Schizosaccharomyces pombe: one gene and its partner. The main gene of each other region encodes a partner of the protein of the gene in region 2 in a complex. Each region holds a gene or a part of one and is shown on either strand. Other genes may lie near its edges. The genes, in order: mst1 and epl1.

What was found.
Region 1: epl1 (region 2) and mst1 share a complex: the UniProt entries of both Schizosaccharomyces pombe proteins name them as parts of the nuA4 histone acetyltransferase complex.

What each region holds. Positions count from the first base shown.
Region 1 is NC_003424.3:4,558,357-4,564,629, reverse strand, and holds mst1 (histone acetyltransferase, KAT5 family Mst1), read left to right. Parts: upstream 1-1,800; 5' UTR 1,801-1,854; coding exon 1,855-3,246; 3' UTR 3,247-3,393; coding exon of another isoform or gene 3,394-5,337; 3' UTR 5,338-5,529; downstream 5,530-6,273. Other genes in the region: slm1 (cytoskeletal signaling protein), read left to right, coding at 1-736; ATP-dependent RNA helicase Rpm2, read right to left, coding at 3,394-5,337; 19S proteasome regulatory subunit Rpn10, read left to right, coding at 5,994-6,019, 6,062-6,208. UniProt on the Schizosaccharomyces pombe protein: Catalytic component of the NuA4 histone acetyltransferase (HAT) complex which is involved in epigenetic transcriptional activation of selected genes principally by acetylation of nucleosomal histones H4, H3, H2B, H2A and H2A variant H2A.Z.
Region 2 is NC_003421.2:2,187,335-2,192,586, forward strand, and holds epl1 (NuA4 histone acetyltransferase core complex-Piccolo HAT module linker protein Epl1), read right to left. Parts: upstream 3,542-5,252; 5' UTR 3,396-3,541; coding exon 3,228-3,395; exon of another isoform or gene 3,021-3,227; intron 2,707-3,020; coding exon 1,201-2,706; 3' UTR 749-1,200; downstream 1-748. Other genes in the region: cnb1 (calcineurin regulatory subunit B), read left to right, coding at 4,870-4,921, 5,115-5,252. UniProt on the Schizosaccharomyces pombe protein: Component of the NuA4 histone acetyltransferase complex which is involved in transcriptional activation of selected genes principally by acetylation of nucleosomal histone H4 and H2A. The NuA4 complex is also involved in DNA repair.

The DNA of each region.
Region 1 (6,273 bases), on a different chromosome or scaffold from region 2:
TCGCGTATCAGAAGCACAAACCCTTGCTGGCGAGTGGACCGGATACGCAAAGCGTGAGCCGGAATTTATTCATGGCTCTGTTCCCCCCCGCAGCGTTGATGCTATAAAATATCCTGGTAAGAATGACCAACCCACTGTACCTATCATGGCTGGTTATTTAATTCGTAAAACAAGTTTTTTAAAGAAAAAACAAAGAGGTTTTTATGCCTTTACACATTCTGGCTATCTTTACGAATTTAAATCTTCTGATTCACTTCAAGATCCTGAACCCGAATTCGCCCTTTACATACCTGATTGTCTGATCGGTCGCCCTTCTGAGAAGAAACCCAAGTTTAAAATAACTGGCAAGGATGCTACTAAGAAAATTTTTGGCGCGCGAAACGATTACGCGTTTCGCGCTTCTAACAACACCGAACTAATGAGATGGTGGGAAGCGTTGAATACCCATATTGCTAATGTGAACTATATACAACCTTTAAGCAACGCAAATGGTCCATCAGCTGTTTCCGACAGTGATGATGATGATGATGATCCAAATGACTTCCGTCCAGCCGTCGAGCGTCAAAGTTCTACGATGAATACCCGTATGTCGCAACCAAGCTCTGCTGTCAATACAAATCGAAGTTATGGTTCGGAACAAATTCCCTCATACGCAGATAGCCAAGGAAATTCTGGCGCCAACAACAACTTTATTTACAACGCTAGTGCTACTGGTCATAATGCTTGGAATGTATAAAGATTGTATATTCGCAAATTAGGTACGAAATGTGCTCATGTATATTTGTTACACTGCCGTTGTGTTTTAAATGGCAGTCTTTGTAACTCCCCCATACCCGTCTTAATTGTATCTTTTTGATTCCCGTTTAAAGCACTTGAATGTTGATTGTGAACCATTTTACTGTTACTGTAATGAATTCATGATAGTGTTTCTTGATATATAGTGAACTTTTGAAACACCAGTCAACAAATATATAGGTATTATATATAAACTCAGAATAAATACATTTTCTGTTCACCCATACCTGTGGCTGATGACTGTTTCAATCGGGAAAGTTACTTTTTAATGTAGCAGGTTTCATTCCGATATATCTCAACCGCTCGTTTCATGTTTATTAATTTAGCAGCTGGGATGATGGTATATACCTTGTAAATAAAGTGCCTAACATACTTTTATTGGTTTTTGTGAATTAGCTGAGCGCGTTAGTGAAGTAAATTCCCTTAATTATGAAAAGTACTTCTATTATTCCTTATTGGCATTATTCTTTTAATTGGAAACGGAAAACTGAAGAATTGTATTACTGTTTATAGCATTTTCGGTACTTTCTGGACAAATTTCGAATATACTCGTGTTCAAACCCGAGAAAAATATTTTCTAGATTTTTATATTATCAAAGAACACTAATTTTAATTGAGCATTTCAGGATTTTTGAAGTTGATCGTTTAATTTATCACAGCTATCTTGATATGTGTAAAATGAAAGTATTTATTACTCTTTTCATCCTTTCAAAAATTTTATTAATTAATTTACTTTCTATTGGAAACGAAAAGGTTAGCATCGTTTGCTGTAAGCGCAGGTTGAGAATAATTACGTCGATGCTATAATAACGAGCGAAACTCTAACTTTAAAAATCATCTCGCTTAATGAATTTCAAGGTAGCAAAGATTGTAAATTCGTCGAAATTTGCTAAACAATTTAATTTAAAGCAGTAAAGTTCACAAAAAACATACCGACATTTAACGAATCGGTAAAGAAATGTTTTCGAAACTAGCAAAACTCACCACCATGAAAAAAAAATTTTCAGGGTGGCTACACAATTTGTACATGGAATAAGTATCCACTTATTGAGACTCAAGATGTCGAATGATGTTGATGATGAGTCCAAGATTGAAACAAAGTCTTATGAGGCTAAAGACATAGTTTATAAATCCAAAGTCTTTGCATTTAAGGATGGAGAATATCGAAAGGCGGAGATTTTAATGATTCAAAAAAGAACTAGAGGCGTCGTCTACTATGTACACTATAATGACTACAATAAACGTTTAGATGAATGGATTACAATAGATAATATTGATTTATCGAAAGGAATTGAGTATCCACCGCCGGAGAAGCCAAAAAAGGCTCATGGAAAAGGAAAATCCTCAAAACGTCCAAAAGCTGTTGACAGACGACGATCGATTACAGCACCTTCAAAAACTGAGCCTTCGACGCCTTCTACGGAGAAACCTGAACCATCCACCCCTTCTGGAGAAAGTGATCATGGATCAAATGCCGGGAATGAAAGTTTACCGTTATTGGAGGAAGACCACAAGCCCGAAAGTCTTTCAAAAGAACAAGAAGTAGAAAGGTTACGGTTCAGTGGCTCAATGGTTCAAAATCCTCACGAAATAGCTCGAATTCGTAATATAAACAAAATTTGCATAGGAGATCATGAAATTGAACCTTGGTACTTCTCACCGTACCCTAAAGAATTTTCGGAAGTAGATATAGTTTATATTTGCAGTTTTTGTTTCTGCTATTACGGATCTGAGCGACAATTTCAAAGACACCGCGAAAAATGTACATTGCAGCATCCACCCGGAAATGAAATATACCGTGATGACTATATATCCTTTTTTGAAATTGATGGAAGAAAGCAACGTACATGGTGTAGGAATATTTGTCTTTTGTCCAAACTTTTTCTGGATCACAAAATGCTTTACTATGATGTTGATCCCTTTTTGTTTTACTGTATGTGTCGCCGCGATGAATATGGATGTCACTTGGTAGGATATTTCTCAAAAGAAAAAGAGTCCTCCGAAAATTACAACCTTGCTTGTATCTTAACTTTACCTCAATACCAAAGACATGGTTATGGCAAGTTACTCATACAATTTTCTTATGAATTGACCAAGCGTGAGCACAAACACGGCTCACCTGAAAAACCACTTTCTGATTTGGGGTTGATTAGTTATCGAGCGTATTGGGCTGAACAAATCATCAACCTTGTGCTTGGAATGCGAACTGAAACCACTATTGACGAATTAGCCAACAAAACTTCAATGACTACTAATGATGTGCTACATACACTTCAAGCACTAAATATGCTTAAATATTACAAAGGTCAATTTATTATCTGTATTTCAGATGGAATTGAGCAACAATACGAAAGATTGAAGAACAAAAAAAGAAGAAGGATCAATGGAGATTTGTTGGCAGATTGGCAACCTCCTGTTTTTCACCCTTCCCAACTACGATTTGGATGGTAATTCTGTACAAAGAATGGATTAGATGCTGGTCGTCTTTCTTAAAAAAAAAAAAAATTCTCATAATTAAAGTATCTCCTAGATATATATTAATGATACTTAAAGTTTGAAGGAATAGAGACTAATTTGTAACCTTTTATTTCATTTTAGTTACTTTTGTAATTTCGATATTCCTTTGATTAGAAAAGCCTCTGCTATTGCCTTGGTTTTTTCGGCTGCTCCATTTTGCAGGATAGCTGGATATCGTATACTAGCCCACATGTATGCTACTATTAATTTGTGAAGCTGCTCTAGTTGTTGTAACTCGGTTTCAGTGGTTGGAATTCCGCGTTCTAATATTTCCAAAGGTACAGACTTCAAATCATATATTTGCAGACGTTTTCCTTGAGCGATAACACATCCGATTTCCCGAATAAATAGTGGTGCGTATTTAGAATGCTTTAACACTGGGCACCCTAACAATTTGATTTTATCTTTAATGGTTAAACCTTTTATGTGGTCTAAATATTCAATAATGAATGTGCTTAGTGCTCCTTCCGACACAACAAATGGAGTAGTCGTTTTCGCTAACTTAAAGTAACGATCGAAAATTAGCTTTTGAGGAATGTCATCAGAGAATAGTGATAAATATCTAAAGAATAAATCGTCCTTAGCTCCAATACAAGCATTGAATAAGTTCTTTGTAGGAAGATTCATGGCGCGATTTAATTTCGCAAAATCTTTTTGATATAGGGTAGTTACTATTCCAGCACTTTGCTTAGATCCATTGGGATTATGTCGGCCAGCTCTTCCTGCTATCTGCTTAATTTGTGGTACAGGGATGTCTATAGTGGAAACTCCACTAAACTTTTTTAAATCGCTGAAAACAATACGCTTTACGCCTAAGTTGAGACCCATACCAATGGCATCGGAGGCCAGCAAAATATTTTCATCAGAACTCTTTGAATTAAATAAGCTTGCTTGTTGATTACGGACTTCAGGAGGCAGTGAACCATAAATAACGGCAGATTTTTTTCCTAATGCTTGATCAATTTTAGACTTCAAAGTAAAAATGTTTTTCCTTGAAAAAGCCACAACACAATCCCCGTCTTTGAGTTCACTTAACTTTCCATTTAAGCTCTTTTCTGCAACGTGGAGAGGATTTAACCGTTCGTATCTGTAAACAGTAAAATCATCTTGGGTCATTTTAGCAATTGAACGCACTAATTTAACAACACTTTCTTCTCCGCATAAATGAATTTCCTTAGCCTGCAAGCCAAGCAAGCATTGAGTCCAAGCATATCCCCGTGAAGGATCAGCCATCATTTGGATTTCATCAATGACTGCAACATCAAAAGTAGTAGATAAGTTGCACATTTCTACAGTACATGAAACAACCTGAGGGAAAGGATAATCATTTCTAATCTCTTCCCCTGTGTAAAGATTACAAGCTATTCCGTTTGCTTGCAAGCGATTATAGATTTCGTGAGCCAAAAGTCTTAAAGGGCCAGCAAATATACCTTTCTTGCAAGTCTTAAGTCTTTCTAAAGCCCTATGTGTTTTCCCGCTATTCGTTGGGCCGACATGCATAATGATATGCCTTCTGAGTTTTCTCGCTCCTGGATACCACTCAATTGGATTTTTTAAATCTGTTAATTGCTTTTGTAAGTCAGGTCTTGTTTCTTCTATTCGCTCTTGATATCGTACATACTTCCGATACTCTGAGAGTAAACAATCATGGATCTTTTTTATTTTCTGAAGGTCAAAAGTAGAAGAAGATTTTGAAAGAGCCAATGATTTATCAGAGTTTTTTAAGTCAGAAAATCCTAAATCTGTAAGGATATTCTTTTTTAACTCATAATAGTATACATTCTGAAAGACACTGGCATCCTTGCAGACATTGACAAAGTCTTGGGCTAAGTATGCTTGTTTTGACGAAAGTTCTTTGGAAGCAAATAAATATGCAGTGAAGCGATTGAGGGCAGCAGCCCACAAGGTATTTCCTGGGAATTTCCTTTGTTGAAAAACATCCTTTGATAAAGTGTGAATTCTAGCAGACTTGCTAAAAAACGGTACACAAAACGTTACGCCATGAATCAAAGTTTCCAAAAACATTCCTGGCGAGTTAAAATCTTTCTAGCAATGCTCTATTGCTGGCCGCCCTGTAACCAGAGCAAAACTTAATCCAAGTATTTAAAGTAATTTAAAAACAAGAAATGTTTATATAGAAAATTAAATACTTCTCAAACGTCTGAAGGTCCCTGGCTTTATCGCTTTTAAAAATATTACCTTCTATTAATTAAAAAAGGAAAAAAAAAGTAATAATTTGACTACGAGATTCAGTCAAGTTGCCTGCTGAGGCCTCTAATATGTTATACCAACAGCTCTGCATGTATCTCCAAAAAATTAGTATCTCAGCAGTACCCTTTAAATTCCAGTTTTCCGCTTCAGTAAATATATAAAATTTTTTAAAAAGCGTTTATTACCTACACTTGTATTATAACAATTTCACGCATTTGGTGTTGGCTTTCGATTATTTACGCGTGCTGTAAGAAATTAGAGAACCTGTGGATTCGAACAGGAAATGAATTGTGTATCACCATGTTTTTCGATGTTTCATTTTGTGATGCGTTACATATCGTTATCCGAGAATGACTAGAGAAGGTGAGTAGTAATACCTTGTCTAGTTCACTTTGCAACACATCTTCTGTAATCTACCAAGCGTTCTTTCAAATTTCTTCGCATTAAGTTTTAAATTATAGGTCTTCAAGATGGTGTTAGAAGCAACGATGATTCTGTAAGAATTTATTTTTGTTAAATTATTGCTCTAACATGGCAGAATTGATAATTCAGAATGGATGATTAATGGTGATTATATACCTACGAGGTTTGAAGCTCAAAAGGATACTGTACATATGATTTTCAATCAAAAGATCAATGATAATCCGGAGAACATGTGTGGTTTAATGACAATTGGTGATAATAGGTATATGATTAATATTACGGCTTGAACGGTACTTTATGTTCAGCTATAAAATACTTTACAGAAAT
Region 2 (5,252 bases):
ATATAAAAGAATGTTTAATTGGTAATATTACCAAAGCAATATATCAATTAGTACCTTGACTGATTTATTATTGCAGATGTTTTATATCTTCGTTTGGTAGTGTTGAAGTTTACGTGACTAAAGAAGTTGTTGGTAAATAGTTAAGTGTAAACAATGAAGTGAATAGTATGCATGTGAGTATTACTAGTTTTTTATTTTCATAAAAGCTAAACAGTAAATCTATTAATCATTCATATACTTAATGACTTTAATTGAATCCCCAAAGTCGTTATGATGAACCTAAAATTTGTCAGTTCAGTTAAAAAAGTTGTTTCAAGTTTTTTATAATTGAAAGTAACAACAATAAAAAGATAAAGGTTATTGATATTCAATTAAGTCGATAATTTCTAAATCTCCTACTGCAATCATAATTGCTAGAAGTACGCCTTATTAACACATACTATGGAAACTAAGAGTGAGCATTATAAATTCGATATGACTCTTCTTCATATTTGCTATTGTATCTTGTAGCAATGAGAGAGACATATAGTTAGTGGATGATTTTCTAAAAAATAAGCTCAGAGAACTAAAGTAAATGGTTATAGAACAAAAAGGAAAGAAACCAATAAATATATAATCAACAACCCAACGCAATGACTTAGTCTGAAATTTTTCCAAAACTACTTAAAAAGCTAAAAATGTATTCAATTTGAATACGAATTCGATAAGTCGTTAAGACATAAACTTCGTACATCGTATATTTATTATATGCTAAATTAAAAAAGCTGAACAATGAATTGAATGTCATTAAAAAAGTCATTAACCACATGCAAGTCTAAAAAAGCGGGATCACCAAAAATTTTGTAACAATTCACCGATTCAACTAGTACAGTATCAAATAAATTAGCGACGATAAAGAATCTATGCATGCATAAAACCAGGGTTGGACTGTAGAAGCAAAATCAAATCTTGTGAGCCAAAAAAAAAGCTGACTATGCTTTCAAGTCAATTCCCCCTATTAAATTTTTTATTTGGACAAACAAAAATCATAAAAATGAATAAACACTATTTTTCTAAAGAGAAAAATAGATTATACCCCAAATCCCTTCAAGAAATCAATCAAAATCTTAAATAAGCTAGTCGAGGAGAAATAGTTAAAATAAAATTTGATCGAAATCTTTAGTAATGGAAATATTATAAATACCATAGATAAAAAGCGTTTTATGACTGAGTACCCATATCATCGTTTAGCAAGCTAGCTCGAAACATTATAGAAGCATCAGATTCATCATCGAGTATAATTGTGTCATCGGCATCAAAGGGAATGTCAAAAAGCCATCGATCTTCAACACGAGATTTTGGTTTACTCAACCGATGTACTGGCAATGCACGAGTGCGATCCAACATCAAACGCCCTCCACGTCCTATTCGTTGTCGAACGCAGATGGGATTTCTGGGATGTAATAAAGTGCTATAGCCGTATAAAGAGTTATTTGAAGAGAATGAAAGTGAATCGCACGTATTAAAATTAGATAGGGAAGAGTGAGGTGTAGAGTAGGTGGGTCCATTATCAGATAATGGAGTCGAAGGGGTTGAGGAAGGAATACTCAGTTGATTATGGGATTGTTTCGTTTCTTTTCCTGAATAATATGGAATAATGTTTCGGTAAAACGAATCGGGATAATTAGTATGAATAACGGTACTAGGCGTCTCCAAAAGGTCAACCCAATTACGATCGAGCTGTTCCTTCTTGGTAAGACGTTGCTGAAGACGAATCTGAAATTGTGTAATTTGGGCTGATTGAACATCATCAAGCATTAATAACGGTCGAACTTCGACATTTCGCGTAGGTTGTGGGCGATAGGAAGCAGGGTGAGGAGAAGTTTTTACAGGTGGAGCTGGAGTAGGTACAGGGGCGGCGGGCTTTACCTCAATAGGACGTCGTTTAGGATTGATTAAAAGTTCATCACTGTCTTTTATATTTAGAGTACGTTTAAGCTTTTTGACAAGACAGCGCTTCTGGAAAATAGCATAGTCGTCTTCAAGCGCTTGCAGCTTCTTTTGCTCACGTTTGTACACTTGTTCCAGTAACTGAAGACTTGTCTCCATGCTTTGTCGTAACCTCCGTAAGCGATCATAAGACTGAGCGTCCGACCGACGAGTTTTGCGAGCCTGTCGAATTTCACGACGACGAAAACAAACATATGGATCATCATCATCCTTATCATCGCCAACTTGTGCTTTAGCCATAATTGGAAGACCACCCTTACTGATACGACGCTCACGCCAATAAGGGTATACTTGACTAGCTAGTGGTTTCAAGTACAGTACATCTTTTAACTCGAAGGAGGTGATGAGCTCAGACAAAGGCAATATTTGAGAGGTATCCATGCTCAAAAAAGGCTGATTTTGATTAATTTCCTCTTCAAACGTCTGCATGACAATTTCAAAATCTAATTCAGAAAATTTGGAAAGAGAAGGTTGAGCCTGTTTCAACTTCAGAAAATATTCCGTATCATGTTCATCCATGCAATATTCTGGGTTTGTACATTCTTCCACAGTGAGAGAAAACCGAATTAATGTCTTAGGAAGAATGAAATTCTTTTTGTAATATTTGTCAATTATACCTATATTTTTAGCCTCCCGTGTAGGGATAATAAGCTTTTTTTCAGATCCACGCACAATGGCCTCATGGGCTTCATTGATGACTTGTTGCAAATGTTTTTCCTATAAATTGTTAGAAATCTAAGTAATCGAAGATGAATGAAAAGCGATAAGAAAAAGGACAGCTGTATTCCAAAAACAATAAATAATCAAATAAATAAGCATTGCTAGAAACATAACCCAAAACATTCATTAGCCACAATAATGAAGTAGCAATCTTTTCTCAGTAAAATCAAATTTAGAATAAAAACTAAAAAGGTTCAATGAATCCGTTGAAAAAAAAAAAAAAACCTCAAAATTCGTGAAAGAAGGAGCATCAATATTTTTCAAGTAACTTTTAATTCTCAGTTTACTAATCTTTACAAGAGTAACTTTAACACAAACAAACTAGCAAGTTTAAAAAATTCAGAAATTCGATGCAACTCCGCTCAAATCATAATTTTCCGCATAACCCTTCGTATACATTGTAAAACGGTGATTAAGCACCTTTAAAAAGAGTGTTTATTTTTGTCAACGAAATCCATCAAGAAGCCAAGGTTTTTCGTACTTTTCATTATCTTTCACATTCTCGGGTTCGCACTTACCTCTTCCTCTTCTTTTTCAACACCAGATTCCACCAAGGGAACTGTCCGCTGAAGTGAAGCTTCTTCATCAAAGTCAGGTATATCACGTTCGAAATAAATCGGCATAACGGTTTTAATACCGACCTTCCGTTGACGATATGCCCTAGCATTTTTGGAGACGGAACTCATGATAATATTGGTATCGTTGGACTCCAATCACTTAAATCTATCCAACCGTAAAATTATAAGATACTCGTCTCACTCAAAATCTTGTAGAAACAGGCGCTAAATCCTGGCGTAGTTGACGGCCGTCGTCGTTGGTGTGTCAAACCACTAGGGGTTAACAAACCGAATGAAATTTTTCATAAACCTCTTCACTGCGATAATTTACCGAGGAGCAACGTAACCAAAAATAATTTTCTAATACGCTCGTACCGTTAATATACAACGTATTGTAGCGATATTTACTGGAGATTCCAGGTGTAAACAATGGAAGAAACCGATGGCAGGAGAAACAAAAGAGGAAATTGTCAACCATCAGTTGAAGTGAAGTCCATAAAACTCCATAGTGAATTATAAGGAATCAAGTTCTATCATAGTTCATCTTATTGACGTCGGAAAACCCTCGTCAATACTCAATAGAAAAAAAGCATTACTAATTCAAAAGAAAAGTCATGATCTGCTAGTATTCGTAGTCTCTAGTAGCAGAAAAAAGCACTTGATTTTTACTTTCAATGCGTGTTATAGACCATGAATAGGCATTTCTGTTAGAATAATAAACTGTTCGCAGCAGAGCCAGGTGGAACATAGAAGTAAACAGCGGAATAAATTCTACATTTTTTTCCACTAACGAAGATGTTTTCCGTATCTCATCAATTATCTATGCCAACTGCGCATAGTATAGGGTGAGAAAAATGAATGTCTTTTTCAAAACGAAGCAAGTTGTAGACAAACATTTTCAACGTTCCACATTTGCTTTTTCCAGAAACCAAGCCCTTTTCAGGAAGATTAAAATTTGATTTAAAAACATGAATTGCAATCTTTCAAATATTCGAAAGTCCTTTCAAATACTTACCAAACATGTCGAAAAATTGCTCATTCTCAGATTTTGCTTCCTTCATAATCTTAAGCTCATATGGTAAAGCTTAATCAGCATAAAACTGCTAAAGCAGTTTAAAAAAAATTTGGTCATCAGAAAGAATAAAGGTTAAAGGTATTTAGTTTTGAAAAATTACAAAACCTCGCCTTTAAAAATCCAAGATGCAGAAACAGCCATCTCCAAAGCAATTATGAATTGCTCTAAACCTCAATTCTTTGTCGTTTTTAAGCCGGATTTTCGTTTGATGCATCCTTTCTAAAAATGAAAAGCTGCCATTGCAGTTGAATTTTCAATTACAAGCTTACAGATAATTTTCATAGCTATTTTTTTGCACAACCCAACATGTTTTCAAGTCATTTTTTGAAATTTACGGATTCCACGATTATCTTTGAGATTGGTGGAAGACAAAGTGTGCCAAGTGACATTCGACCCTTACATTCAGAAGGATTTTGACTCAAACTACCACCACCGATATAAGGAATTTTCTTTGAAAGGTAGCTGACCGTTATATTCTTGGTTTGTTAATTGAACCTTACTCATTTCATATTATTGTGTTTCCCTCTCATGGGTCAGTCGCAGTCGCAAATCTTTGAGGACTTGATCTCAAATTCATCCTGTAAGTTTGATGCTTAGTACGTGTGGCCAAAAGTGTTCTTATCATTATATTTTTTCATGTTAGAATACTTACATCTCTTGTCGTCTATTTCTTTTTAAGATTATAGCCAATTCATCAAAGTTGCCGGTTTCACATGCACAATGCAAAAGTATTAGCACCTCAAAGCGACTCGGCTAACGTTCATTGTATCTAGTTTCCAATGAGGAGATAGAAAGAATTCGCAAGCGTTTTATTAAAATAGATGCTAACCAATCTGGCTCTATTGACCGAAACGAATTTTTGTCGATTCCCAGTGTAGCTTCTAACCCACTTGCTTCCAGACTGTTTTCAG